Coturnix japonica: one gene and its partner. The protein of the gene in region 2 interacts with the protein of the main gene of each other region in a biochemical or structural test. Links are inferred from orthologs where the notes say so. Each region holds a gene or a part of one and is shown on either strand. Other genes may lie near its edges.

Evidence for each region.
Region 1: the proteins of COPG1 (region 2) and TMED10 form a complex in vitro, tested with the Homo sapiens proteins (2 studies listed by BioGRID). The link is inferred for Coturnix japonica from reciprocal best matches to the Homo sapiens genes COPG1 and TMED10.

What each region holds. Positions count from the first base shown.
Region 1 is NC_029520.1:34,645,022-34,648,835, forward strand, and holds part of TMED10 (transmembrane emp24 domain-containing protein 10), read right to left. Parts: intron 3,194-3,814; coding exon 3,073-3,193; intron 1-3,072. UniProt on the Homo sapiens protein: Cargo receptor involved in protein vesicular trafficking and quality control in the endoplasmic reticulum (ER) and Golgi.
Region 2 is NC_029527.1:6,774,914-6,778,594, reverse strand, and holds part of COPG1 (coatomer subunit gamma-1), read right to left. Parts: intron 3,551-3,681; coding exon 3,475-3,550; intron 3,258-3,474; coding exon 3,154-3,257; intron 3,048-3,153; coding exon 2,922-3,047; intron 2,527-2,921; coding exon 2,458-2,526; intron 2,106-2,457; coding exon 1,963-2,105; intron 966-1,962; coding exon 794-965; intron 1-793. UniProt on the Homo sapiens protein: The coatomer is a cytosolic protein complex that binds to dilysine motifs and reversibly associates with Golgi non-clathrin-coated vesicles, which further mediate biosynthetic protein transport from the ER, via the Golgi up to the trans Golgi network.

The DNA of each region.
Region 1 (3,814 bases), on a different chromosome or scaffold from region 2:
AGAGTGGAATCACCTCCATGTTCTACCGCTACCAGCACATGGAATAATCTCCCACCAACATGGTCCATATCAACAACCCAAAACTCAAACTCAGCTATATAAAGAGACTAATGGATAAACTAGGAGTAGGATGGAACTTTTCAGTTTTCTTATTCAAGGTCAGTTACTGCAAGAACAAACTTAAAACCCAGCACTGTTCTTTAGCAGATACGATGACTACAACCACCCAGTGCTCCTCTCTCCAGCCAACAAGCGTTGACTACCTATGCCTTATATCAGCATGCCTGGAGTCTCTAGGCAGGGTGGCCAACAGTAGCTGCAGAAAAAAGATTCAAAGCACACAGTTCAGTGAGAGGGGTTTTTTTATGTTTAAATTACAGCAACTTGAGTGAACAGCTGGAGCTTCCAGGAAGGGATGAGAAAGATGAAAAGGCCAGCAAGCAGGAGAACAGAACTGGAAGGGTTCAGTTGTCAGGCTGGAAGGAAAAGATGCCAAGAAGCAGAAAGCAAGCAGATAAAATGAGAGCTGCTGGGTGCAGAGGGATGGAAAGGAGACATTCTGCATTGTCAGGGATTGCCCTGGAAAAACTGAAGCTGCACTTCTAGAAGTGATCGGAGTATAAGGCACAACAAGAAGCTTCCTTTAAGCTCATCAGATCCTCAGTAACTCCCTGCTCCTCCTGCAGCTGGAGCTCACCAGAGCAAAGCAGGATCAGGAGCAAAGGAAAAACAAACAGTAACTATCAGAGGTCTTGAACTAAACTATCCAACTGATACCCACATCTCCCACTTCAGGGTCCTCAAGTGGCCATCTCAAACAAGCACAGAGCTGCTTCCTGGGAGACTAAGGAAGTTCCTAATGTACCAAGTCAAAGGATGAACAAGATAGTCAAACTGGATGTAAAAAATGTTTTGCAGAGAAATGGTAGAATAAGTAAGTCATAACTGTGAGGTCAGGAAACTAAAGATTACAGAATGAACAAAAAATTAAAGATGGAGAAGGCCTCTTTGCCCTGAAGCGTAGTGACAGGACAAGGAGCAATGGTTTTAAACCAGAAGAGGGTAAGTCTGGATTCAAGAAGCACCCTCAGACCTCCTGCACTCTCATAATATGTACCTTCTATACAGCATCTCCTTCTCACTTCCTCTTCCTTATTTCTGTGGTTAAGGATTGAGAAATCCCAGTTGCTTAGATCCTTCAGGGCCCAACGGCTCCAGGCTTCCTCTATCAACAGTTCTCCTCTTCCAGTACTCCACCAACATCCTCCTTAGCTGGAGCACTAAAAGTCCTGATTGCCTACTTGAAGAAACTACGAAAAAATAAAAGCTTTTGAAAAGAAACACAGGGAGAAGAGACATCTCAGTCAGCCGCCTCATTCCTTTGCTCACATTATAAAGGAACAAGGTACTTGTAACACTGCTACTTCCTCCTCCTAATCAACTTAAACAAGTCCTGCAGATGGTCAGGCCTTACAGTGCCACCACACTGTCCTCAGCATTTTTGTTATATCCAACACAGGCATGGAAAATCGGGAGATCTCCATCATACAGTATGTATCACTAGCAAGGATTATGGCCTCCACCAGGTCCAAAAAAGAAACCAGTAGCTCAGAGGGACCTAAAGAGAAAGCCTTTGGAAGAGGATCCAGCTGCTGAATTGAACAGCTCTAGATTTTGGCATTCTGATCCCCCAGTGGTCACCAAGTAGAAGCTGGACTTAGAAATATTTTATCCGGTCTAGGCAAGAAACCCCTGGTCACAAACACTAAAATAAAGAGTCTAGACACAGCTAAAGAAAGAAGCTTTTCCCACTTCATTGTGTGATTCCATAGAAGCTAGAAAGGATTTATTGGTCTGTCTGGGGACCTCCCAAACACCCAGGTGTTGGACAGTACAGAGCAGGAGCGACTCTCCCACATGAGTCACTAGTACCTGCATGTCTTGATGCGTTAAGGAGCATTCAGAAGCCCTATCTTCACAGTGAAATAAAAGCAGAACCCTGAGCATTTAGAGTCAGTTTTATCTGACAAACATGATAGAAGAGGTGCTACAAGCCAGATGCCTCTTAATAAAGATACCTTTCTGTTTCTGAAAAGTTCTCTTCAGTTTGCAAACTATTTGCATATTATAAATGGAACACAACAGCAAAATACATACTGCATTTCAAGAGACAGGAGGAATGCTGCTAGTGACTGCTCCATAAAGAACTTTGAGATCTTCCAAGATAAGACATGAGAGAAGTGGCTCCAGGGAGCAGAACTCTGACAGTGACTGGGGGAAGATGCAAGCACCTACAATCTTGCACATACTTACTCAAAGCTAAGGAGACTGGAGCCTATGTCAGCTGCTTTCAGCACATCTGTCCTGAAGTTGAGCCCAGCCACTCAAAGCAGCACATGCGTCATGCTCAAAGGAAACGAGCCTCAGTGCTCGTTAGGCAACCATCCCTGCAGCACAAAGGCAATACTGACGTCCTGCTCATTTCCTCTTCCCTTTACTGACCGCTCGGCAGTTATGGGTGCAAACTAAGGCCATGTTCTTTTGTACACACACAGGAACTCCAGAAAACAGTTGCTATCCTAACAGGACCACTGCAAAGTACTCATTCTATTGAGATTACATTCCTCCAAAGGAGGGGAGTGGGTCAACAGGACAGAAAAGCTACGTCCTGGAGACGAGGGTATTCTGCTTTGTCTTTGCTTGACTGCAGGATGGCAAGAACCACGAAAAGAACAAGAGAGGTGCGTTTTGCTCCTTGCTACCACCATTCATAGCAACTGTGGTAACCTGTGTAGGAGGAACACACAATTCCCCTTTCTTCTGCCTGTAACAGAAGAAACCTGAGCACTCTATACAACAGCCACAGAGGAATACTTAACTTCCAAATGCAACACAGACAGCAGATATTCTGCACTGCAGAAAATACACACAAACTCATGAAACACGGCTTTAGAAGTCAACATGTTCTGTAGACTATGCTCAGAGTGACTTTATACATACCACTAATCCAAACATCCACATCTACACAAACTTCATCAGAAGGTGAAGGCAGCCAATGGTTCTTTCACTTACCCACAGGAAGCTTGCTCTCAAAGCAGGCCTCAAACATGTCATAGTCTTCAGTGGTGAAGGCAAACTTGCCCTTGGTGGCATCCTCTTTAGCATACAGGATGTGCCCCGCTGAGTCAGTTATCTGTAAGAGAGATAACAAGGGTAAGAAATGCAGCGTTTCATTGCTGTAGGCTCACACTACTGAGTTTAGGCAGCACGAGAAGTGTTCTCTGAGCCTCCCTTTTGGATCAGATACTTTGCTTTTCACACTTTTCCTACTTCCTGGCAACTACATCAAATCCTCTCCTACTCATCCTCAGTGAGCTGACAGAGTGCATCTCAGGCAATCACTGACTGTTACGTTAAAACAAATATAGAAAACGGACAAAAAGAAACATAACAACAAAAAGAAACCCAACCCCAAACTGAAAACCACACTGATTTCTTTTCCTCTTATGACATCTGAATACAGACAACATTTAGGAACTCTGGATCTATGAAGTGTCAACTACTGCCTTCGTTTTGCAAGCAAAAATTATTAATTCCCATAGTAACAAATACAGAGAAGCCTTATGGGACAAGAAAGAGTGATTCCCCACAAGATGAGATGGCGAAAGGCACATCTACCTCTCTAGAAATGAATGACCAGTGCAGCCCTGAGTTACACGAGGTCTGGGTGCCAACATCCATCAGATGTATCAGAGGACAATTCAGACTGCACGGACAGAATAATGACAGCCATATTCCATTTCTATACCATACA
Region 2 (3,681 bases):
AAGGACAAAGTACTTATTTGTAATGCTAGGGCCAGCAAACAGTGATAAATACAGACTCCCGATGGCTGCACAATAATCTTCAGATCAAGTCCTGTTACTCATGAATATCAAGTTGTGTTGGGAATACAAACTAAGCGTGTCCCATCAACCTCTTGTGAAGGAGGTGAGACCCTTATCTAGGGATCAGTTCATACACCTTGGAAATGAAACCACCTTGCACTGCAGCACAGCAGATGATTAATATCGTTCAGCTGGGAGAGGAAGCAGTGACTCATCTCTGAAGGCAGGCACTGCTGCATGAAGGGCAGCAGCACACAGGTGAGCAGCCTCAGAACAAGCCAGCAATCAAAGCACAGACTGGGCCTGGTTTATGTTCTGACAGTGACAAACAAGGGAATGCCCTGGAATTCTGGCCATTTGTCTGAAATGCTCCTTGAGTACTCTGTGCCCTCATGGCAAATCATAGCAAAGCAGACAGCTACTCGCCTCCCCGTGTGCTAAGAGCAGGCTAAAGGACACACCAGGGTGCAACAAAGACATTTCAGCAGAGATCTGAGTGCTCATCTGCCAGTTGCCACAGCCCAACAGTGTTTTAACACAAGGGAACCAGGAGGAGAAGGGAGGCCTGACAGCCAGCCCTCAAGCAGCAAGGAGAAGTCATGCTTGGCATCACTCAGGGATGCACCCACACACAGTCTATAAATATCTGCAAGGTAGAATGCATGTGGGCGTAAGCAATACGGTATGCTTAATTTGGGGGAATATCATGGAAAACAGAGCACAAACTGTTTACCTGCTGTTGGATCCTCTTCAGACAGTGCCACCAGCGTGTAGCAGGTGCCTGGCTGGTTGTACACCAGGCTTTTGGCAGGGATGTAGCCAATGACCTCATACCCCTCTGTTGGCTCCATCTGCACAGTGACATTCTCCAGGATCTGATCGTTCAGGGTGTTGGTACAGTCAAACTAAGCAGGGAAGGAGAGAACAAAGACAGCTTGAAGCTCTCAGCTCTAGATGTAAGAGCAGATTCACTTCACGCACAGTGGGAGCATGGTGTTAACTTGTGAAGTGCCTCTGTCTCAGCAGGGAGTGCAGCTATCACAGGGTTCATGCTTCCATTTAGTCTCAGTGGAACTGGCATCCAAATGTTTTAGGGGAGAAGCTAAAAACTTTCAGAGGACTCCAGTTCTCCACTAACTTGTTTTTATATTATATACACATATTTTTAAGGAAACAAGACAGTGATTTCAGCAGATCTAAACCTGATAGTTATACTTGGAACTGAATGCAGTGACAAATCACTCAACTTTATACAGTTGTTTCTGGCAAGTGGACAATAGAAACAAAGATTAACTCCTCTGAGGACTGTGTGAGCAGTTCTGAGCTTTTGAGAAAGAAACAAAACCCTGCTGCTCACAGGGTAGCACAAGACTTGCTTGAACTCCCTGAGGGCCAAGTAGAGAGGCTGGTGCCTTGCTTGAACAACTCCCTTGCAGCAGGAGGGTGATCCAGCTAAGGCTGGATCAAAAAAATAAGCACCTATAATAAATAGGCTAAAACAAAATGCAGGTAATTAAGAACCCTCTCCCATCCTGTCAGGTCACATTTTCAGCCTCCCAGATACGACAGGCTTCACTCTTTTGTGTTCAAAACATGCACCTGGGGACCCTGAGGAAATAACACAGCTTCCTTTGCCAGCTCTTCCATGAGAACAGCCCCACCTAGTGCCTATCCCATTGTCACTTTGATTGCACACATATGCATTGTTCAGTCAAAACCACATGCACACTAATTTATCTTTTCTTCCCAAGGCTCTTCTGCTCTGGGTGAGAACCTAAGGACCCACTACACAATGAGCTTTGAACACAGATATCCTTGAGCTATTTCTTTGCAGTGAAGTTTTTACTGGTCAGGAGTTTATTTTCCAGTCATCTTTTGGCACCACATGCCATAGCTACTCACCTGGAACACCATGTGGCTGACAAATGTGTGCTTGGTGCAACGAACCACATACTCTGTTTCCAGCTCTGTTAGGGCAACAGGTTCTGGGGAAGACTTGAAGAGCGGGCCCAGTCCCCGGAACTCTGGGATCGCTCCCAGTTGCTCTGAAACAGAAGATGTAGAAACAATTGCTTTCCCCAGCCACCGAAAAGTGTTAACTTTCTCAAAGCCTTCAGTTAAATAGCTGGAAGCTGCTGCAGCAAATAGTCACCCATTGAGCAGCCCAGCATTTGCTAGGAACTTCTAAAACTAAAGGCAGTCTCATCTTCCTTTAGCACACATCTGCCAACTGCCCACATCTACTGCAAGCATCCCCAAAAGCAAACAACTGATTCGGATGCCCACGCCACTCTTTGAGGGGAGACAGGGAAAAAGTGGAGTGGACAGGCAGGCTCAGCTAGAAGAGGCTACACAGTTCTCATGTACAGGGGTAAGAGAGGCCTTGCATCACTTTACCTTGGAATATTTCTTGCCGTGTTGCTGCCACTTTCTCTGGCTGTTTGGCTACAGCAACAGGGGCATTTTCTGCAAGAGAAAATAAACAGAACAATGAAACAATCAAATACAACCAGGAATAGTAACTAAATCAGAAACCAGATCATCGACTAAGCAAAGGAGAGCTCATTTCTCATCTTGCCATAGAGCAGGCACCCATTTTTAGCTTCCTAAATACCTCTGGTAATCCTCACTGAAGCTACTGCAATTCAAACGATTACTATTATTAGCAGCTGGACTAACTGAAACACTAAAGTGGGAGTAACAAGATTTGCTGGCCTTTGTCTTTACAGAAGATATAATCCCACAGAATTCGATGAGGATGGATCTCAGCAATTCCCAGCAAGGCCAGTGCTGGATCAAGGGCTGGATCTGCCAGGGAACTATCAGCAATTTAGATCAGCACACAACAGACCGATTCTCACCTGCTCTTTGCTCGATGATTGGAGCTGTTGCCAAAGGAACAGATTTCAAATCAAAGGGTTTTTCAGAGGGTTCCAGAGTATACTGGTGTAGAGCCCTCTCCAGGCCAGGGATGGACACTGTTAAACCTAGGGACAGAAGGAACAAGTCCCTGAGACCGCAGATAATGCCATCTCTTTGGCATGTATTAAACCAGGAGAGGTGCAGTCTTGCTTTGGGGACTTTCTGTATTACCGTTCAGGATGTAGCCAGCATTGAGGGCTTTCTGCTTTTGCTCCAGAACATTCAGGTAGAACGTGGCTCTGTCTCTTACTTCATTGTCATCATCCATCACACATCTGAGAAGAAAGCAGAAAACCTGCTTCAGCACAAGGCAGCAGGGCCCACGTGAATCAATCCAGGTTATTATATATAATAAGTTATAATACATCACATTCTAATGTTATAACTTATTATGTAATACTTAAGCTTAATTACAAGCACAACTTAGCAGTAGCCTTGCTCTGCCGGTCTCCAAATAACCCACCTGTCCCTGTAACATTAAGTGACACTCACCTTTTCAATAACACTAAGATACTGGGTAACATCTCCTCATTCTGGGCTCCAAACTTGGCCAGGGCACTCACAGCACCTGCAACATAAGTCATAAAAAAAGAATAAGGATACAAAAGAAATCACCTGAAGTTTCCTCCGTCCCTGAGCTGTGATCCAATGGCACATCAGAGACCCTAGATCCAGCATACAGCATTACTGCAACTAGAA